4 linked regions of the Schizosaccharomyces pombe genome follow. Changing the gene in region 1 together with any one later gene gives a genetic interaction. Each region holds a gene or a part of one and is shown in the gene's direction. Other genes may lie near its edges. The genes, in order: gsk3, asl1, dad2 and trm61.

Evidence for each region.
Region 2: mutations in gsk3 (region 1) and asl1 together harm fitness less than expected from each alone (positive genetic interaction), as found in Schizosaccharomyces pombe (2 studies listed by BioGRID).
Region 3: mutations in gsk3 (region 1) and dad2 together harm fitness less than expected from each alone (positive genetic interaction), as found in Schizosaccharomyces pombe (2 studies listed by BioGRID).
Region 4: mutations in gsk3 (region 1) and trm61 together harm fitness less than expected from each alone (positive genetic interaction), as found in Schizosaccharomyces pombe (2 studies listed by BioGRID).

Annotation. Positions count from the first base shown.
Region 1 is NC_003424.3:928,197-934,105, forward strand, and holds gsk3 (serine/threonine protein kinase Gsk3), read left to right. Parts: upstream 1-1,634; 5' UTR 1,635-1,742; coding exon 1,743-1,761; exon of another isoform or gene 1,762-1,809; coding exon 1,810-2,000; intron 2,001-2,481; coding exon 2,482-3,435; 3' UTR 3,436-4,001; downstream 4,002-5,909. Other genes in the region: SPOM_SPAC1687.14C (calcium-binding protein), read right to left, coding at 17-247; SPOM_SPAC1687.23C (uncharacterized protein), read right to left, coding at 963-1,277; C-5 sterol desaturase Erg31, read right to left, coding at 4,856-5,758. UniProt on the Schizosaccharomyces pombe protein: Interacts with cdc14 which is thought to play a role in the initiation and completion of mitosis. Involved in the positive regulation of mis12.
Region 2 is NC_003424.3:190,818-196,571, reverse strand, and holds asl1 (O-glucosyl hydrolase Asl1), read left to right. Parts: upstream 1-2,521; 5' UTR 2,522-2,683; coding exon 2,684-4,276; 3' UTR 4,277-4,644; downstream 4,645-5,754. Other genes in the region: chs1 (chitin synthase I), read left to right, coding at 1-351, 398-482; mevalonate kinase Erg12, read left to right, coding at 990-1,064, 1,314-2,453; tsr402 (SSU-rRNA maturation Tsr4 family protein), read right to left, coding at 5,281-5,754.
Region 3 is NC_003424.3:2,783,663-2,788,345, reverse strand, and holds dad2 (DASH complex subunit Dad2), read left to right. Parts: upstream 1-2,053; 5' UTR 2,054-2,197; coding exon 2,198-2,333; exon of another isoform or gene 2,334-2,364; intron 2,365-2,661; coding exon 2,662-2,810; 3' UTR 2,811-3,187; downstream 3,188-4,683. Other genes in the region: dynein light chain Dlc1, read right to left, coding at 1-47, 108-218, 268-276; porphobilinogen synthase Hem2, read left to right, coding at 3,416-4,405. UniProt on the Schizosaccharomyces pombe protein: Component of the DASH complex that connects microtubules with kinetochores and couples microtubule depolymerisation to chromosome movement; it is involved in retrieving kinetochores to the spindle poles before their re-orientation on the spindle in early mitosis and allows microtubule depolymerization to pull chromosomes apart and resist detachment during anaphase.
Region 4 is NC_003424.3:1,990,329-1,996,696, forward strand, and holds trm61 (tRNA (m1A) methyltransferase complex catalytic subunit Trm61), read left to right. Parts: upstream 1-3,328; 5' UTR 3,329-3,601; coding exon 3,602-4,696; 3' UTR 4,697-4,879; coding exon of another isoform or gene 4,880-5,820; 3' UTR 5,821-5,862; downstream 5,863-6,368. Other genes in the region: inp53 (inositol polyphosphate phosphatase), read right to left, coding at 1-647; mitotic septin Spn4, read right to left, coding at 1,459-2,601; Swr1 complex/NuA4 histone acetyltransferase complex subunit Swc4, read right to left, coding at 4,880-5,820, 5,863-5,940, 5,997-6,085, 6,150-6,355. UniProt on the Schizosaccharomyces pombe protein: Catalytic subunit of tRNA (adenine-N(1)-)-methyltransferase, which catalyzes the formation of N(1)-methyladenine at position 58 (m1A58) in initiator methionyl-tRNA.

The DNA of each region.
Region 1 (5,909 bases):
CCATTGATAAACAATCTCAAGATATATGAATCCACAATTCGGCAAATTCTTCACGCGATACTTTACCATTAGTGCCAGCTAAATCGAGCATCAACTGAAGCTGTTCTTTAGTCAAATTTTCCCCTAGTTGAGCGCAAGATCTTCGAAGGTCTTCAAAGTCAATGTACCCTTTGTGTGTCACGTCAAAAAGATCAAAAGCCTCTTCTGCTTCTTCATCCATTTCAAGACGTTTAGTACTGACAGACATGGTTCCCCTAAACTAAAAAACTATTCAACAAGGAAACGCAAATGCAAACAAATGAGATAGTGCCAAAAATGCTAAAATGAACGAAATAACAGTAAAAAAAAAGAAAGGAATGAAAATCAGCGTCCGATGGCTAGAAGAGATATAATTTGTTCAACAGTTATCAAAAAAAGACTAGAAGTGAGTTAAAAATCCAAACGAAAAGACAAGGAGGAATAATATGAACAGATAGACAATCAAAAGTGGAATAACTGCGTTTAAATACTAAGTAATCAGGCTATTTGATGCAATTTGAAGGTGGTACAAATGGAAATTTCGTGGTGCGATAAAGTGGACGAAACTTGACCTTAATGAATATATGGTATAAAAACGTTAAGCTGAATTTTTTTTTCTAAAACTGCCAAATCAACAAGGATATTGAAGAGACAGTTGGAAATCTCAAAATTTATGTATAAAATGTGTTCAATTGACTTTATTTACGTGCCAAGCCAACCTACTAAGGCGTTATTAGCTAATATAATAAATTGACCGAAGCTAAGGTTGTGCGCAATATTTAAATAACAAAACACGTAATACAAGATTTTTGATGAGTTAATAGATCGACTTGCAAAATGGCTTTAATGATGTAGGCTATCAAGCATAATCTCCTTTAGCGGTGTGGCATACTAATACTCGTGTTATATATTATATATGAATGTTTGACATTATTTATACACATTCATTTTTTAAGGATTCTTACTTTGTTTATGTATTTTTTAACATATTTGAGATGCTTCTGAGACATTGGTTCGCTCTCTGATTTCGTAGTTTTTCCATTTTTTCCTTTGAGACAGGGAGGGATACGCGATTTGCATATGCTAGTATAAATTTGTCTCCCTGTGAATGTTCCATTATTTACTGTATATGAATTGCGACAGCAGTTGCTACTGAAAGGTAGGAGCACAATTCTGATGGCATTTGAAAAGTCAAACTTCCTACTAGATTTTATGTGAATTATTTTAAAAAATATGTTTTTCTTTTCTAAAATCCACATCGAATTCAGTGTTTGCTCTAGCAGTTTCAAAGTATATCACTCTAAATTCGGTAACACTATTCAATATAACGGACTGGAGGAATTAAAACTCACAATGTGATAATCGCGTATACGTAAGATGGTTAATAACCATGAATTCAATTTCTCAAGCACGAATTTTTCATTAATATACGTACTTTTTTATGGTTATTGTAATAAATAAGAGGAAAGAATGAACCCTCTTTTCTTTGATACTTGCGCCGAGAGTTTACAGTTTTATGATTTGCTCATGTCCCGTAATGTTACCTCTTAGAAGTACGCACTTTGTATCATGCTACTATACCCCAGAGATTATTCTATGGTAGAACTTCCTCCACTACCACAACCCGTACTCCACGTTCATCACGCCAAGAAAACCTCCTTTTTAAGTCCTCTGATAGCTTTTTTTTCATTTTGTAATTTAACATTTCTGTATCATCATCCATAATGAATCATGGTACTAAAAGTAAGTTGGCTAACTTCGATAGTGCTGTTGTTCTAACCGTATAAATAGTTCCTGTGGACCCCTTTCGTATTATAAAGGAAACCGCTCGTGATGGGTCAACGGGAGAGGTGAAGCAACTTTCTTACACTTCGAGTAAAGTTGTGGGCTCTGGAAGCTTTGGCGTGGTCATGCAGGTTCATTTAATTGAATCAGACAGCAAAGCCGCTATAAAACGCGTTTTGCAAGATAAACGGTTTAAGGTATGTATTTTTATTGAATGCAAAATGCGAAAGGAAGGGTTAGATTTTACTTTATTTTTCTGTGAAAACCGCACACTTTTGTTTACGCTGAAGATACGTAGCGCGCGTGCTTCGTCAATATACGTAAGATTCATTTACAAAAGATTGGTCGTCTACATGCCATAAATGGTAAGAGAGTAGTGTTATTAAAACATTACTTGCTTTTGTGCTTTCTCTTCTTTGAAGTGTCCACAGGCTTACCATACCTGTTGTCATGAAATTGTACAACTCAAATGCCTATTGCTTTTTTTTTGCATCCATTGTACGATACACAAGCTTTTTTTAGCCAGTATTTGGATGCGTTGAAAATTTAGTGTATTCGTTTTGAACATATTTTTCCTTTTTCCCTCCTCCATTTTTTGCACTTCTTTCTAGATTTATAAAAAAACTCAGTATTATAAATCTTCTCCAATGAACCTTTGTTTCTAACACTTAATTTTAGAATAGGGAGTTACAAATTATGCGAATTATGAAGCATCCAAATATTGTCGATTTAATTGCCTACTATTATACCACCGGTGATAATTCCGATGAAGTCTATCTAAATTTGGTTCTAGAGTTTATGCCTGAAACGATTTATCGTGCTTCTCGTCTATATACTCGTCAAAAACTTTCTATGCCAATGCTGGAAGTCAAATTGTATATATATCAGCTTTTGCGTTCTTTAGCCTACATTCATGCTAGCGGTATTTGCCATCGTGATATCAAACCTCAAAATCTACTATTAGATCCGGAAAACGGAATATTAAAGCTTTGTGATTTTGGTAGCGCAAAAATCTTGGTTGCTGGTGAACCAAATGTCTCTTATATATGTTCTCGTTATTATCGAGCTCCAGAATTGATTTTTGGAGCTACTGATTATACTCACGCTATTGACATCTGGTCTACTGGATGCGTGATGGCTGAGCTTATGCTTGGACATCCTCTTTTTCCCGGTGAAAGTGGCATTGATCAGTTGGTAGAGATTATCAAAATTCTCGGTACTCCTAGTCGAGAACAAATAAAGACTATGAATCCTAATTATATGGAACATCGATTCCCACAAATACGTCCACAGCCTCTTTCACGAGTGTTTTCTCGAAGTGTTCCCCTTGATGCATTGGATCTCTTATCAAAAATGCTTCAATATACACCTACTGATCGCCTTACTGCTGCTGAGGCAATGTGCCATCCCTTTTTTGATGAGCTTCGGGATCCTAATACTAAGCTTCATAACTCTCGTAATCCCGATGCTTCTCCTCGTCATTTACCCGAATTGTTTAATTTTTCCCCCTTCGAACTATCCATTCGTCCTGACCTTAACCAAAAACTAATTCCGTCCCATGCTCGCGATGCTTTACCCGTGAAACTTGATGATTTTGTTCCAATTCCAATTCATCGTGCCCGAATTGATTAAATGTAACGGGTATATGCATTCATCTTCTAAAGTTCTTGTATATCCATTTTTGCCACCAAACTTATTTTACTTCTTTGTTGTATTACGCATTAATATAGCCAGTGAATCTGCCTTGTTGTGCGTACATATACCAATCGCTATCTATACTGATTCTACAATGGTCTACTTGTGTGGATATTCTTTTCGTTCACTTTTTTTTTGTCGTTATTGGTGTTGAATAAATCAAACCTGAATTTTGTTTTGATGAGAACTAAATTTTTTCGATCACGATTATTTTCTTAATTGTTATTTTAGGAGTCATAAGTAGACCATCTTAGTTTGCTGAAAGTTTTTCAGCGACTTTAAAACTTTAATTGGATGAGAAATGTAATCGGTAATTCTTTCATTCTGGAAAGTATACTGCAGAATCTCATATATACATATATATCATAATTCTTATACTAGTAAAATGTTTGTGATTGATTCAATTAATATTTTATGGTTAGGTTTCAAAAGAATGTTTTGTTTTTATTATTGTTTAATTCATTTTTTTGTCCTCATTAAAAATTCTTTTGGTAGAGTCATTACTAAGTTTTTGCTTCGTAGACTACATGAAAGAAGCTGGTGAGGCGAAGTAATATTATGATTCAATACTACCTAAGATATAGCAAACATCAAAAGGGTACAAAATTCTAGGAAATCATCTGGCAACGTTAGATATCAATATGTAAATAGAAATAGAAAAACATGTAAATCTAATTACATACTAAGTCAATAAATGGAAAGGAGTCTGGTAATTTTTGATTAATTAGCAGTGGTTTACAAACGAATAGTTACTAGTTATTGCAAATCAAAATTAGTGTCGATGACATGTGTAAGCTTGACATTCATTTTATTTCAAAATAGAAAAGTAAAGATAAGAGCAAAATTTTCATTTCGTATACGAAACTAGCAAACAACTACAACGACGTGAACAGCAAAAACGAGTGTATTTGAAGTAAATTATTTGTGAGATGATAGTACCAATCAACCCAACTGAACAAACAACGTTTCAAAAGGGAGGTGGTAAGAAATTGCAAAGCAAAAAAAACAAGTCATTTGAAAAGAAAGGAGTGAATGACTAGATGCGAGACTTCCAAATTTTCTGGATTTATCGTTCTAAAAGAATAAACCGAAAAAAAACAAACTTGGGAATGCTAAAGAGACTCGAAATGTAAATTAGCAAAAAGTTTGCAAAGGATATATAAAATCGCTCACATTGTTCCTTTATAGCAACTGAAGGTAGAGCGGGTAAATAATGCATGTAATACCAACCATAGAAATAGAAATACGTGACCAAAAGAGTAAAACCAACGGGGAAAAATGAAATGGGAATGATGAAAACGAAAAAAAAAAGTAAAATCTTTTCAGAGACAAACTCTTCTGAGTCTAGATATGTTGTTTAATGGTTCTTCTTAGCAGAGTTAGCGATGTATTCTCTATCATCATCACCTTCAACTTCATTACGAATAGCCTCGTACTCCATCAATTCGACACGAAGAACATCCTCGTTTTGGCGAAGATCTTTGTCAAACCATGCCTCATCGGGGGCCCGGAAAGAGTTGCCGAGGCGATCAAAGAGGGTGGTGAATTGGCCGTAATTGTAGTTGAAATAAATGTGATGGCCATTATGGTGAGCAGCACCATTGATGATGGGGTTGTTGGAGATGTATTTACCATCGTGAATCATGATGGACCAGAAGTTGACAAAGGTGAAAAGAGCCAAGTAGGTCAACTTGTGAAGGGGAAAGAAAAAGGGGAAAAGATGGTAAGGAAGAGATTGTAAGAAGCCATCAGCGGATTTGAAAGCATGGGATGCATATGGAGTGCAGATAATCCACTTATGATGGAGTTTGTGAAGACGAGGGTATACATAACGGTGATGAAGGAAACGATGAGCCCAGTAAATGCCAAAATCTGAGAACATGACAAAAAGAGGTAAGGAACATAAGAAGTATTTTAAACCGTAATCACTGATGTTGTCGTATAAGTAGCTGTACCCATGCAACTCAGCCAAAAACCACGGAACCGTCAATAACGCCATACCAGGTAAGTTTTGTAAAGCCGTTAGAACTTCCATGAACACCTGGTTTTTTAAGAACTTTGGGTGATCCATCAGACTTTTATCAAACACAAATTGGTAGGAAAGCGACGCAAATGTTAAATACAAGAACATACCGCCAAACCAAGTTAAAAAAAACAAACTGATCGACTGTCTAACGATATTGTCGCGAGCTAATGGATATACAGCATTGTATATCGAATCCAGCGCATATTGGTCAGCATAGTTGAGTAGGTAGTCCATTGAGGTGTTTGCTTAAAATCTATTGACCGGTGGTAGCGTATAAGAAGTACCAAAAAATGGTCTGATTTTGATTGCGATATCTAGTTGGCTGCTATTAATTAGTCAATAGGAAACCGAGTTATCTTTTTCGTTAAAGTTTTTATCAAAAAAC
Region 2 (5,754 bases), 740 kb from region 1:
ACATGACGTTTCTTGGGGTACCAAAGGAGATCACTTTACCAACAATGATCTAGGTGTTGCAAGACTCCTTCAAAAAGGAGCTGATGTAGAAATAGCAATTCCTACAAATCAATCAGACATTGATGCAAAGTATGAGGATGCTGTTAAACTGCTGGCATCTCCTTCATTAGAATTCAACAGTCCCATCATTAATCACGGAGAGCAAGAGGATTTTTACAAAAATTTTCGAACGTATGTTGTGCTTACCTGGATTCTCTCAAACCTATTTTTGGTAGGAATTGTTCTAAGTATACCAAAAATTAACGGGATCTCTATTTCAAACAATGAAACAAGCGCTTATTTGTCGTTTCTGTACGTTGATTTCAAGACTGTTTTATCAGTTGACTAACTATAATAGACTTTGGAGCGTCGTTGCTTTCTCGGTTTTTCGGTTTATTGGTTGTATTTTTTATTTATTTATTAGACTTTGTACGGGAGAATAACTTGCATGGCTATTTTAAGATATTTTAATTTGTTAATGAGTAAACTTTTTAATGAATTCATCAGATTATGTACTTACTAAACAGCATTTTTTTATACCTGAACACTACTTCTCAATTTGCTTAGCTGTCTATTTAAATATTATGTTATCAATACTCATCATATATGTACTTGCTCTTGCTTTCTTGCTATAAGCTATAAATGTAGTATTTTATGGTTTTATGTAAATGTCTAACGAGTTTTGCGCTGTATACCTCGTTTAAAAAGTCATTTTCCTTAGCGCATATGAAAACTATAACATCGCGATTTTTATTACAAAAGAACTTTTAAAACAAAATCAAATAAAGTAACTTTTTAATTAAAATACCAATCTTTTGCTACAACTTCCAATACCATCATCACCTTGTCCTGTTTGCGTAGATATCTGTCGATAACCAACCTTCGTCGCCTATTTACCATCACCTTATTTTAACTGTGTTTTGAAGTTGAACGTAAAAAAAATTTCTGAAATGTCAAAATCGCTTATTGTTTCGTCGCCAGGAAAAACGATTTTGTTTGGGGAACATGCCGTTGTATATGGAGCTGTAAGTTTACCTAAGGTTTAAAGCAGATTACATTAGCGAGAGTTTTTAACAGGCTAGTACTGGATACAGCTCTGTTATGCATATATGATTTCTTTGTAACATAGTATTTGCAAAGCGAACACCACTTTTAACTTTGACAGTCGTCGCAAATGTCATTCTGCTATAGCCATGCTTATTTTTGATTCTAATCTTAAGCCATTTTAAAGCGAAAATATGGAGATCATTTAAATTTTTATGCTAACTTTCTAGACTGCGTTAGCTGCAGCTGTATCGTTACGGAGTTACTGTAAATTACAGACGACTAATAACAATGAAATAGTAATTGTGATGAGTGATATAGGGACCGAACGCCGATGGAATCTTCAATCGCTACCTTGGCAGCATGTAACAGTGGAAAACGTTCAGCACCCGGCATCATCTCCCAATCTGGACCTTTTACAAGGATTAGGAGAGCTATTAAAAAATGAAGAAAACGGACTTATTCACTCAGCAATGCTTTGTACCCTTTACTTGTTCACGTCTTTGTCTTCTCCTTCTCAGGGTTGTACTTTAACTATTAGCTCCCAAGTACCTTTGGGTGCTGGATTAGGTAGTAGTGCTACTATATCAGTTGTTGTCGCTACAAGTTTACTACTAGCTTTTGGTAATATTGAACCTCCTAGCTCAAATTCTCTTCAAAACAACAAAGCACTTGCGTTGATAGAGGCTTGGTCTTTTCTAGGTGAATGCTGTATTCATGGAACACCAAGTGGTATTGATAATGCAGTAGCAACAAATGGAGGACTTATCGCTTTTCGTAAAGCTACAGCTCATCAGAGTGCCATGAAAGAATTCTTAAAGCCTAAAGATACCTTATCTGTTATGATCACTGATACCAAACAACCAAAAAGTACTAAAAAACTTGTACAAGGAGTTTTTGAACTGAAGGAAAGACTACCAACTGTGATTGACTCAATAATAGATGCAATCGATGGCATATCAAAGTCTGCCGTCCTCGCATTGACTTCGGAGAGCGATAAAAACTCCTCCGCTAAAAAGTTAGGAGAGTTTATTGTTCTTAATCAAAAACTCTTAGAATGCTTGGGTGTATCCCATTATTCCATTGATCGCGTTTTACAAGCCACTAAGTCAATTGGATGGACGAAGCTTACAGGTGCCGGTGGTGGAGGTTGTACGATTACTTTATTAACACCTGAGTGCAAAGAAGAGGAATTTAAGTTATGTAAAGAATCACTATTAGCCCATAAAAATTCTATTTACGATGTTCAATTAGGTGGACCTGGTGTTTCAGTGGTAACCGACTCAGATTCATTTTTCCCTCAATATGAGTCTGACTTTGATTTTAAAAAATTGAATTTACTCAGCAAATTTAATAAATATTATATTTAAAGTTTTTATGTATAATCAAATTTTCATAACTGGTATATATATGAGTGGCTTGATAATGAACGCGGCTTGTCGTTCACCAACCACCACAGTAGAAGCTAGTCTATAAGAGTCGTTGTCCGTTCTTTAGCAACACTCCTTTCCACTCTTTTATATATCAACTATATACCAAATTTCATCTTTTCTTTCTTTTTTTAGTATTAGACGCGTTTTATCTAGTATTTTCTAAAAAAATGCGTACTACTTTCGCGACCGTCGCTTTAGCTTTTTTATCGACCGTTGGAGCTTTGCCCTATGCTCCTAACCATCGCCATCACCGTCGTGATGATGATGGCGTTTTAACCGTGTATGAGACTATCTTGGAGACTGTTTATGTTACCGCAGTTCCTGGTGCTAACTCATCTTCCTCATATACTTCTTACTCCACTGGTTTAGCTTCTGTTACCGAGTCGTCCGACGATGGTGCTTCAACGGCTTTACCTACTACCTCTACGGAATCTGTGGTTGTAACAACCAGTGCCCCTGCTGCTAGTTCCTCTGCCACTAGCTACCCTGCCACTTTTGTTAGTACTCCTCTATATACTATGGACAACGTTACTGCACCCGTATGGTCCAATACTTCTGTCCCTGTATCAACTCCCGAGACATCTGCCACTTCTAGTTCTGAATTTTTCACTTCGTATCCTGCTACCAGTTCCGAATCTAGCTCTTCTTATCCTGCTTCTAGTACTGAAGTTGCTAGCTCTTATTCTGCTTCTAGTACTGAAGTTACTAGTTCTTATCCTGCTAGCTCTGAAGTTGCTACGTCAACTTCATCCTATGTGGCTCCTGTCTCGTCTTCAGTTGCTTCTTCATCAGAGATATCAGCTGGCTCTGCTACATCTTACGTCCCCACTTCCTCATCATCTATTGCTCTTTCTTCTGTAGTTGCAAGTGCCAGTGTTTCTGCTGCTAACAAGGGAGTTAGTACTCCTGCTGTTTCTTCAGCTGCCGCCTCCTCTTCAGCTGTCGTTTCCTCTGTTGTCTCTAGTGCCACTTCTGTTGCTGCTTCTAGTACTATTTCCAGTGCTACCTCAAGCTCTGCATCAGCATCTCCTACTAGTTCTTCAGTTTCTGGCAAGCGCGGTTTGGCCTGGATTCCTGGAACTGACCTTGGTTACTCTGATAACTTTGTCAATAAGGGCATCAACTGGTATTACAACTGGGGTAGTTATTCATCTGGTCTGAGTTCCTCTTTTGAATATGTTCTCAACCAACATGATGCCAATAGCCTTTCTTCAGCTTCTTCTGTTTTCACTGGTGGTGCTACCGTCATTGGATTTAATGAGCCTGATTTGTCCGCTGCTGGAAATCCTATAGATGCAGCTACTGCAGCTAGTTATTATCTTCAATACTTAACACCTCTTCGTGAATCTGGTGCCATTGGTTATTTGGGATCACCTGCCATCAGTAACGTAGGTGAAGATTGGCTTTCTGAATTCATGAGCGCATGCTCTGATTGTAAGATCGATTTCATTGCTTGCCATTGGTATGGTATTGACTTTAGCAATTTGCAAGATTATATTAACTCTCTCGCCAATTACGGTCTCCCTATTTGGCTTACTGAATTTGCTTGCACCAACTGGGATGATAGCAATTTACCTTCATTGGATGAAGTTAAGACTTTGATGACCAGCGCTCTTGGCTTTTTAGATGGACATGGATCTGTTGAGCGTTACAGTTGGTTTGCTCCTGCTACCGAACTCGGAGCCGGTGTTGGTAATAACAATGCCCTTATCAGTTCCTCTGGTGGATTAAGTGAAGTCGGAGAGATTTATATTTCTTGAACTCCTTAAATTTACACAAAATGGGAAATTATCTTGTGAGATATAATGGTAATTCTTATGCTTTTTTTTCGTTCTTTAAACTGTCAAATACTCTTATTTCTTCTTGCTCTGAAACTCTTTTTTATGATATTTTGTTTCATGGTTTTTGTCGCTTTTTTTTGAATACTCTGCCATCTATCAGATTGTTTAAGCTTTCTGAACTATGCTTATAGGAGATGTGCTTCTTATTACATCGATCTTTCATTTATTCATTCGTTTATTTTACCAACCATGAAGTTCATTGTGTTTGATGTCACAATTTTTAAAGCGTGTATTCAATGAATATGCTGCGTGTTTTAATTTAATACAGTCGTTAAATGTCTTTTAAATTTTATTAGTAATCTTTTCTGTAAGCTTTGGAACTCTTGATAAAGTCGTTTAACTTTATTTGCTGACATTGTTGATGATCTGTAGTATAAAGGTAAATAATAAGCGAAAGTCTCGTCTATAAAATGAAAACAAATGCATAATTGACTGCTGTAATGATAAAACAACTATTTCTCCATTGCGCCATTGTGGGTGGTTTGATATCTGGGTGTTCTTTACATGCTTGTTTGCCTCTTTTCAAAAGGAGGTCTTAGCAACTTTGGACACACGAACAAGAAAAGGCTTATTGAACTATAGGATATTAGAAGCATGAGCAATTTAAGAGACATCACAAACTTAATTAGCAGATATTAAAAGAAAAAGTTATCTCGAATCTCTTGCGAAAAATTTATTAAAGTAACCTTTTTTTTGCATAGTTCTTTGCAGCAGATTTAACTTACGCCGAGTAATCTAGTACTAGATTCTTAACCTGCTCTACTCACTGTAATCATAAAAAGAAACTCTACTCATGCCCCTCTTACAAATGTTTTCAACCGGACGAAAGCAACCATCTCAAAAGTCAAGAATCCCGTAACTATTTGCACAATAAACACTAATTAAATTCCGTTTTCCATAAATATATGCCGCCGTATAGGAGATCATTCAGGTGCTATAATTCCTTGCTCTGAAAAAGTTTGAAGCCAACAAAGTTCTTCGGCCAGCCCGCAGTTGGCTAAATCACACGAAGCAGAGCAAACATAAATAGATAATATTCCCCAATCCAGAGCATTTTTCGCAGAATGATCAATATTCATACTTGATATCAAAGTAGGTAAAATTTGAAATTCAAGCTGCCTTTTAGCTCCGCAAGCGCAATTGGGTATAGATGAAGGTATACATTCATTATTGCACCATAAACCAGGAAATTCATTAGAAGTCGCATGGTAATAACGCATAATTTGGTCAGGCGCTCTTGAAAGCCGTTTTTGAAATTTCAGGAATGAGACATCACCTTTTGCTTTAGTATACGGTTCAGCGGAAGGATTCTCAGTATCTACTTTTACATTTTTTAGCTTCTCCGGTATTTCTTTTTTATTTTCCTCTTTTGGTTCGGCATCAACTTCAATTTCTGA
Region 3 (4,683 bases), 1.9 Mb from region 1:
CATTTGTAAGACTGGGTTTCCTTATTCAAAGCATTTAATACGGCATACTAAATGAGACATAAAGTTAGCTACCATACATAGATATTTGTAAAATAAAATGAACTTACAATAACAGATTGATTCATTTCAGCTGTTTTGTCTCCGTCATATTCGGAAGCCTTCAAAACCGGCTGAGCAGCTTCTAGGCAAATTTCTTCAAGTTTTTTGGAATCTATAGGCTATTTTCATAATCAAATTAGTAAACGAATCGCGTATTTGACGACTTACACAGCTCATTTCGAAATGGGGTATTTTGATGAGTACAAGGAGGGTACGCAGTGAGATAAAGACACCCACAGCTAGTACGACGTTTAACGGTGACAACCCCATCGATACAAAGTTCAACGCGAACATAACTCACGTTAACATTTCTTTTTATTGTTGATTTCTTTTTGCTTTAAACCTGAAGTTAAGTAAGGATTTTTCGCTTACAGCGAATCGTCAACTTCACGTTGGGATGAATGAGATAATTCAAATAAAGCATCAAGTATTGCTTTAAAGGAAAACAGCGTTTATTTCTATTTCTTACATTCTTTAATTAATACCAATTTGAAAACAGTTGATGGTTGAAACATCGATAATTGATTTCGAAAGAAATGCATAATGATTTTGGAAACCATGTCTTCCTCTAACCGTAATAATTGTATCGAAAAAACTCATAATTACACATAATTACTGGTGTTTGGATTACCAAAAGACATTAATGTGTGCTTTACGCTTTTAACAATACTCTTAGCAAGTCCAGTTTCAGTAATGAATTGAGTGTGTTTCTTTGAAGACGGGCCGAAGGAAAAAACAACAATTTAAATTCTCTGAACTTAAAGTGTATAGAATCTGTTTTTAGTTATCGAAATGTTAATTCAGCATGAAGGGAAAGCGATTGTTTTGCTGTTCATAGAATCCAAGTATCAATGTAGCGAAATCATCCAAATCTTTAACTATTTGATCATTGAATAAAACTACAAGATAATTTATGTTTAGTATTCCTACCATTAGTTCTTTCAATAATTTTACAAAAATGGAGAAGATCTCATCGGTACTGCGATACATAAAGATGCTACTACCCAAAGATTTTAAATCAATGATCCTTTCAATCCCCTAACCCTTTTATCCTTTTCCTTTTTTTTCTTTCCTATAGATTATTTACTGACTTTTATTTACAGGGACATTCTGTGATATAACGGTATTATAACTTGTTTAATTGTTATATAAATGTAAACGTTATTGCCGAAAACCATGTATAAAGTGCGTTATTCTAAAACTGTATATAGAATATAATAACATACTGCGCGAAATTTAATTGTGAGATCGAACAATTCAGTAACTGAGTATTTGGAGTAATAGTGAATTTTTGCGAAGGAAAATACTCGATTACCATGTAAACAAGGGTTTGATGTATGTTAAAAAGTTGTTAATTAGAAATGGATAATAGCCACTCTATTATAATTTGTTCTAAAAAAGTTGGGTATTCTTTAACGACCCGTTGGAACCGATCATTGAAGAAACTTCAATAGTGGATGAGACATTTTATGAATTTTTAAATTAGTCAAATACGGTTCAAATTTTAGAAAACATACGTGGAAGTTGCATCCTGTCTAGAATAAAAAATTCATTTCCTTATGTATCGGAACGTTGACAATCTTGTTGACCAAAAGAATATACTATCGAACCCAAATCTTAAAAGTCTTTTAAGCCCATTATACCTTGTGTAAAAAAAAATAAAAATAAAAATAAAAGAAGAAATAGTAGAGAATATGCACAGTTTTGATCCTCTTTAAAACTTTAGAGGGATGAAGCAATGCATACTTACTTAGTAAAATATGGATATAATAAGCTAGCTAAACTTGACCCATTATTTGAGTAATTATATTCACTATTCAACATAGTTTCCTAAATTCATTATTACTTTAAATTAATGAACTAACTAATTTATTAAAGATGAAAACAAATGGTTAAAATTGAGTAAAATCAATCATTATATTTTTTGTTAGTCTCTATTATCAACCTCTTTATTAGTAATACATTCCGAGATATAAAATTCCAGAAACGGAAATTATTTGTTTTAAACGTATAATTACAAAACCGAAATCGCCTTATATGGTGTAGGAGATAAATCTAGTAAATTTCGTACCTTCTTCTACAAACATTTGGCGTGAACATGCTTCAAGCAAGGATTGAGGAAAAGCAAAAGGAATACGAACTAATATGCAAACTAAGAGATTCTTCTAATGATATGGTTCAACAAATAGAAACGCTTGCTGCTAAATTGGAAACTTTAACAGATGGAAGTGAAGGTATGTTCATTACGAGGAAAGTATATAAAAGAGCCTTGTCACCAATCTGTTTAAGTGCTATTCATGTGAACAAGTATAAATATCATTACATTGAGAAAAGCAAAGAAACAAGTGAATTGATTGGATCTGCAGGATTGCAAATAAAAGCAATCATTTGCCGACATGTCTCTAAATGAACTTCTACCTCTCAATAATTCACCTAAACGTAAAAAATATAATCTGTTTATTTATTTATTTTTTCTATTTTCACTACTACTCATACATGCTTGACGACTCTTTTTAATCCATTATAATAAATGTTTGACACTCAAATCACTAACAAAATCAGCTGTTGCTACTGTTCTCAATAATTGGCCCAGCATTTTTGAGTCAATACAGATAGCATCCCAACATTCAGGAGCTTTAGTCCGAATTCCTCCTTCTACTTCAAATACCAACGCATCTGCTACGGAGCAAGGCGATGTTGAAGAGGTATAAAGACTTAAATACTCTTTTTAATTTCTCACTGAAGTAGAAAAGGCCAAGAATTGGTTAAAATAAATATTATTGTTCTGTCCATTTATTCATATTGTTTCTTCTATTTCAGAATTGGTAAAGCCGACAGCAAACCCAAGTTCCAAGTATCTTCACTTCCTAATGAAATGGAGAATGAGATCACCTTGTAAACTAAATGATATCTAAATTTTTCATTTGGTCATTTTCTTTTGGCGTTCGTCCTGTTTCGCTTGTTTGAATACTCCCAGCATTCCCTTACGACAATTAATTTCTTCAAGGACAAACAATTTATTCAGGAGTGATACTATTGTTATGTAATCAACAAATATCGTGGTCCGATGCCCGATTTTTTAAAAAAAAGTTAAACTTATTTATCTTAACCTTCGCCAACCTCTCGCCATCTGCCACTTACCTTTTTAAAAATATTTCTTAGGAAATCTTGTTGATCTTCCGCTAGAACTTTTTTAAATAACCAATAAAAGGCGCTTTTGCTGGTCCATTAGTTCCATTTGTCACAAATCTGCTTTTTTTACGCAGTTTTACATCTTTAGGAAAAATCAAATAAATTTTGTCAGTTAGTATTTAATATGCCTGTTGATATCAGTTCTCTTTTGCATGCTGGGTATTCAAACCCGTTGCTTCGTGAATGGCAAGGTGTACGTCCCATTACCAAGTCATCTCTAATGTATCCTATCTTCATTTCCGAAATAGATGATGCTAAGGAAGCCATTGATAGCATGCCTAATCAATTTAGATGGGGTGTTAATAGATTGGAAGAGTTTTTGGGTCCTCTCGTCAAAAAAGGTCTTCGTAGTGTAATTCTGTTTGGTGTCATCGAGTCCAAAAAGGACTATTGTGGTAGCATGGCCGATTCCGAAAATGGACCAGTTATTAAAGCCGTTAAAGAAATTCGTCACCTTTTTCCGGAGCTGGTTGTTGCTTGTGATGTTTGTCTCTGCGAGTATACTGATCACGGCCACTGTGGTCTGTTATATGAAGATGGCACTATCAATAATGCTAAATCCGTTGAGAGAATTGCTGAAGTTAGTGGAAATTATGCCTTGGCAGGCGCTCAAATAATTTCTCCTAGTGACTGCATGGACGGTCGTGTTAAGGCGATTAAGCAGAAACTTGTAGAGTTGGAACTGTCTCATAAAGTATGCGTTATTTCCTATTCTGCAAAGTTCGCTTCTGGTTTTTTTGGTCCTTTCAGAGCTGCTGCTAATGGTGCCCCAAAATTTGGTGATCGCAGCTGTTATCAACTTCCCTGTAATGCACGTGGCTTGGCCAAAAGAGCAATTCTTCGCGATGTTAGAGAGGGTGCTGATGGTATTATGGTAAAACCGGGAACACCTTATCTCGATATTTTGGCAATGGCTTCTAAGCTAGCAGATGACCTTCCTATTGCTACTTATCAAGTTTCAGGCGAATTCGCCATTATTCATGCTGCTGCTGCCGCTGGCGTATTTGAATTAAAAAGACATGTGATGGAAACCATGGATGGCTTTATGCGTGCTGGCGCTAACATAGTTTTGACTTACTTTACTCCTGAATTATTGGAATGGCTAGAATATTAAACAAAAAATAATGCGAAATCAATCATCTTCAAAATTATCATGATTGAAAAATTATTTTGTTTATATTCTTTAATGGTCTAGAGTTTCACTTATGAAATTGTTTTTCGAATCTGCGATTACCGGTTCTTGTTTATTAAAAATTTTCGTTTATAATCTGTAGCAGTTATTTACGAAAGAAATTGTTTTTCTTTCTTTTAAAATACTTTAAATTCGTGTGTAGAACAAGATTTTATCTTAGACAACCGTAGGTTGCCAAATTATCGTGATATCCTATTGAC
Region 4 (6,368 bases), 1.1 Mb from region 1:
ACCGAAGAGGCTTCGGAGTGAGTTGGAGACTGAGAAATATATGCCTTAACATTTTTTAATGGAGATACAGATATCGGGCTTGAAGAACCTGCTTTCGAAGAAAAATTGGGTTTAGGGGGTGGTATTTGATGATTATTGGTATCATCGTGTTTCATTAGATCATTTCCTTTGGTAGATTGTACAGATGATTGAAAAGAAATTTCAGGCCCTTTTTGTTGAGGTCGCTTAAGTAATGGAGAAACAGAAACAAATGAATTAGATATAGTAGGAGAAGATGGAGTAGCTACGTGAGATTCAGAAGAATCACTAGGTAGACGATCTATTTTTGAAACATCAGCGTGGGGGTTTGAAGGATTTTTAAAATTAGAAGCTAGCCTTTGAATTGAACCACTAACTTTTCGTCCAGTCGAACTTCCTATAGTCGATGAGACTTGCCTCGGCGGTGGAATAGGTCTTGCTTTAAAAACGTTTGGCTCAGAAGTGCCATTTTTACAACCTTTTACAGTTCTTCTTTTAGCAGTTTTTTCGTCCAAATTAGTTAGGTCACCGGTACTCAATGACTCGAACTTTGATTTCAATGATAAAACCGAAGGGGGCAACTCGGGTTCATCTTCATTCACATTGCTGAAGCCTTGGCGAGAGGCCATGTTCCATGATTACGACAATCTTATGCTTTAAATCAATTTTTTAAATAAATCACCTTTTTTAAATACTTCTAAAATCTATTAGGTGCTGTTTGGACCTTTTGCGCTTTTCAGCTAATTGTTGGAAAAAGACAACCAAGACACTGCGTGGGCTGACCTATTATGAAATAAACAAAGCCTCGTGCACTCAAACACACGCATCAACAATACTCCAAATAATCATTTTTACAGAAAACAAAAGGGAAGATGATGTAGAAATTCGCATAATACAAATTAGGAATTCCAAAAAACTATCAAATATTTTTTAGGCATTTGTATTGCTTAACTAAATAGTTTACTTCACATTTATAGAAACAATTTTGAAAGCCATTCTCAAGGCAATGAAAGATCATATTGTCATGTAGCTAAATATTTGTAACATATTATTAAGCATTGACTATAAACACACATTGCACAATTTTATTTCAGAAAGACACAAAACGAGAAATTTTAAGTACTTATGCAAGAAATTTTATAAGATACAGAAAATTTATTCGATATCAAAATTATATAAAAATTGAGCAACTTATGAAAGCATATGTACTATACGTTGAATAAAACCACAATAAAAGAGTGTATAAAGGCATAGAAAAAATAAAATAAAATCATATAGTTAATTGATTGTCTAAAGAATGTAATTTATACGGGAGGCAAGATAGACGTTTGACATTATGTATTAGAAATGAAGGACCATAAAAGATGATAGTATGGTTCACTAGCAAACAAACCCAAATGATAATTGGGTATCAAGTTTCGTTATATTTTAACATTATCTCTAACGTTTGCGAGAGCTGGTAGCCGCCTTTAGTCGTTCGATTTCAAGTTCAATTTGTTTTATTTGAACATGCTGAGCTTCCAAATCTTTATTTAATGAGTCGCGTTCGGCAATCAAGCGTTGTTCCCATTGTCGAAATCGAGTTTCTTCTACGCGCACTTGTTCTGTAAATCTTTTTCTCAAATTTTCTTCTTCTTCCTTAAATTTCGCATTATCAATAGTCCGCAGTTTAGGTTCTCCATACTGGCGAACTTTCATCTGCTCTTGTCGATATTGCTCATACAACTTTTCTTCAGTAGTTTGAATCAAATCAAGCATACAACTCCGAATTAAAATATTCCTAAGCTGTTTAAAGTCGCAGTGTTCTTCGTTCTCAATTTCAACAATTCCCCATGGGTATTCTCTACCCTTAACGACCCTACCATCAGGAGTACGGATGTCATCTTCGCTTCCAACAATCGCGAATGGCATGCAATTAATGATTCCTTGAATTTGTCTGTGAAAAACGGGATCGCCCTCATCCATATTAGGTTTATAAACATTGACTTGATGGTATTCTAAAACTTGAGAAATTCTAGTTTTATACAGAGCTAAATCCCTTCGAGTATACATATCGGCTTTAGCTATGACAGGAATTAAATTGACACGCTTAGAAATATGTTTCATAGCCTCCAAATCCATAGGCCGAACACCATTTCTTACGGGACGCAAAAAATATAGGCAAGCATGAATACGCATATCAATGATCTTACGACGATCTGGCTGCTGATCTTGTCTCATGTACGATTCATGCTGGTCTTCTATAAATTCAACTACCGACTCCCAACATCCTGAATTATTGATAAAATCCCCAAAACCAGGGGTATCAATTACTGTCAACCTTAAGTGGAAATTTTTTTCTTCTAACTCAGCTTTTGTAATCTCTATTTCGACCGTTTTCTCAGCATGCTTCGCACGAACCTTTTCCGGGCCCATATGTGATTTAATTGTTGTTGAAAAGAGTGTATTACAAAATGTTGTTTTACCAAGACCCGACTCTCCACAAAGCATCAAAGTGAAAGCTACACCATTTCGTGAAACTATTTTGTGACGCTGATTAGGTAAATCCGCAATTCCAACGAAGTTTGTCTCTTCTTCATTCATGACGCGCAGAGATGAATAGTATATTTCCTTTGTTTAACGGTCTGTAAAATATTGACTTAAAAGCTTCCAAACTAAATAAAAAAGTTTCCAAAAAATGCAAGAGAATTGTTATTAGTTTTATTAAAGCATAAATGGTAAAAAACGGAAGGTCTAAGTAAATAGATAATCGAAGCTTCGTTGCAATCACTCGTTAGCGATATAACTATATGATCACTATACCTCATTATATTTTTAACGGGCTTTCGTCTCGTAAATATACTAACTATCATTACTAGTTTGCTCATTAAATTTCATAAAGATTCTGAATGCCAGAAATTATGCTTGGCAAATATATAAAAACCTCTATACTACGTAACAGAAATAGATTGCTGGGAAGTATGCATTTAAGTTATTGATTTAATGTTCATTATATTGTTCAAGAAAATAGTTACTACACAGGTAATATGATGATCAAAATCGTTGTTTTAGTTGATATACAAGTACTAACTTGTTGCAGTGTAAAGTTAATTCGTGGCAGCATAGTAATTAACGGCAGCATTGATAGCATTTTCTAAATTATTTAACGAATTTTACGTTCGTAGCTTTGAGAGTTAATGTGAGATATCGTTATTAATATTTAACTAATGAAACATGGCTACACTAAACAAATGTTAACTAAAATAATAGCATAGTGGGCGTAGGGATAGGTTAACCATAATATCTTGAAAAGACTAAAAAAATTTATCTCAACACATTAGTTTTAAAAACTTCTTTACTTCAGTCTTGTATGATTTAAAATTACAGATTTGAGCGGATCTTCATATACTTCACACTGACTTATTTTATTAACTCTTCAATAATCGTGAATGCACCCGGTAATTTAGACCAACGAAAAATTAAGTCCCAATTTTTCTTTGGCTAATTATATTGATTTGTTAAAACGCAATTAAATAACACTACCTTCTAATTTTTCGTAATACATATATATATATATATATTATATGTTTTTTTGAAATTTATAATGGTATTTGCAGACTATAAACAACGTGTTGAAAATGGCGATTTGGCAGTAGCTTGGATTGGTAGGAACAAGTTGATTCCTTTACATATAGAAGCTGAAAAAACATTTCATAATCAATATGGTGCCTTCCCACATTCCGAAATGATTGGTAAAAGGTACGGCGAGCAAATTGCATCTACAGCGAAGCAAGGATTTATTTACCTTCTTCAACCAACTCCGGAACTATGGACCCTCGCTCTTCCTCACAGAACACAAATTGTTTACACTCCAGATATTGCTTTAATCCACCAAAAGCTTCGTATCACTTACGGAACCCGAGTAATAGAAGCTGGTACTGGTAGTGCTAGCATGTCACACGCAATATCGCGAACAGTCGGCCCTCTTGGAAGATTATTTACTTTCGAATATCACGCAACTCGCTATCAAACAGCGTTACAAGAATTTCGGGAACACGAGATGTTAATTGATGTGGGTGGAAATACTCATCTAACTCATAGAGATGTCTGCAAAGATGGTTTTTTGGATACGGAGGTAAAGGTTGACGCTATATTTTTAGACCTTCCAGCTCCCTGGGAAGCAATACCGCATCTTTCGAATCATGTAAATCATGATAAAAGCACTCGAATTTGTTGTTTTTCTCCTTGTATAGAACAAATTCAACATTCTGCTGAAGCACTACGAGAACTTGGCTGGTGTGATATTGAAATGATTGAAGTTGATTATAAGCAATGGGCTGCTCGTAAGAGTCGAATTGTTCATATTGACGAAGCAATCGATAGGCTAAAAGAGGTTAAAAGAAGGAGGATCGAAGGATTTGAGAGAAGAAAAATGAGGCGTGAACAAAACTTATCTTCTGATGCGAAGGTAGAAGATCAAGATAACGATTCAATGCTTGGTGAAAACAAGTCTTCTGTGTCCACAGAAACGGCGTTAAAGCCCGTTACTAACAAACGCATTAGAGAAGGTGATGGAAATTACGAATGGACAGATGTTGCAAGAGTTGATTCTAACTTAAAATCACACACCAGTTATTTGCTATTTGCGGTGCATTTGCCATCTCAGCTAGATAAACAGAACCAGGAGACAGGCCCTTAGATAACTTTCATATTTATGCAAAACAGAAATTTAGTGAAAATAGGCCGAAGTACTCCAAAGGACACACAGGCACGGTAAATGACATACAGGGTACAAAAAATAATATTAACGCGTCAAACATTCAAAACTTGTTATTATAAAAACGTAACTACCCAAATTGAGATCGAGTATAATGTCATAGAATTATTGACTTATGTGCTTTTTACTCTCGGAGCCGTCAGGAGAAGCTGAGCGTTTACGGCTCAACTTGTCCTGAATTTCAGTTTCCTGAGATAGTCTATCTACCTTTCTTTTCAGTTCCAGTAGCGAAACGATTGAGTTTTGTAGCTCAACGAACTTCTCAAAGTTTTTAGCTGTCGGCATAATCAGCCTTGAAGAAACTCCTAGTTCAGTCATAACTGACGAAACTCTCTGCGATAAAGAAGCCTTTATGGCAGGGATTTTTTGGGAACGAACAAAAGTGCCCGGATGTAGTTTTTCGTGCCAAGTGATGCCAAATTGTGGATCTGTCGGTTGCGGACCGTATCTGATTCTTGGTGTGCTGAGAGCATGTGGACGAGTAGGGGTATTTAAAACACTAGACACTCCAGAAGAAGGGGCTGAAGAAGATACAATAGCTTCCTCCACTTTATTTTTGGTTCTTTGAGAATTAATCATATCTTGAATTAAACTGCTCATTCCAGCACTTGTGTGATATTCATGAATGCCACCATCTCCTTTCTGTTCATCTAATAGACGGAGAACTTCGTCTCTATCACTTAATAATTTAGCCTGTGATGTTTCAATACGTTTTAATTCAATAAATAAAGCTTCTTCTTCTGCAACTTCTTCAGGCGTCCTAGAAGCAAGCCCAATTAGATACTTCTTCCGAATAACTTCTTGCTCTTTATTGTACTCCATCGTATTCAACAAAGAGCTCTGTGCAGCAGTCATTGAATTAATGGGATTCCTGGCTAATAGAATTTTTCGCGACACAGAATAAAATCTGTCTTTTAAATCTTCAAGCGTTCGATGTTTTTTATATTTTTCATTATCATAACGATCTGCTATTACAAAGAACCTCAAGTCATAATCTTTGCATAAACGGAATAGGTAGTCGGTTTCATCTTTATTCCAATCCTCATCTACAACAAATTAGTTAATGAAATATAGTAGAGAATCTCAACCTTTTAAATAATTTTGGTACTCTTCGTCGGTGTAGTCAATTATAAACAGAGGGACGTTAAATTTTTCAAATTTGTATGCTACACAGTTTAGGTTAGTTTAACCAAGCGCTTATCAAATAAAATTTCAAACATACAGGCTTCAGAATCTACTTCTGATTTAAGGACCCAATGATGCAAAGTAAAATCATCCTTACGGCTTGATATGGAAAAGGGCTGGCGTACCCTACAAATTAGTAAATTCCTTACTGAATACACAAATTTATTTATTTGAGCTCTGATTTACTCACCAATTTTTAGCTTTGTGACTAACTTTTGGTTTTTCCTTAAATTTCTTTTGGTATATTGCTAACGGGGCAGAATTCTCGCCTAGCAATGAATAAAGTTCTCGAGAAATTCCTTCTGGCCTTCTCTCTGTTGGAGTTTTAGATTTCTGCTTATTTCCTATTTCAGGAGGAGGTAATTCAAAGACATCCCGAATGTCAGCACTAGTCATTGTATTTTGAACT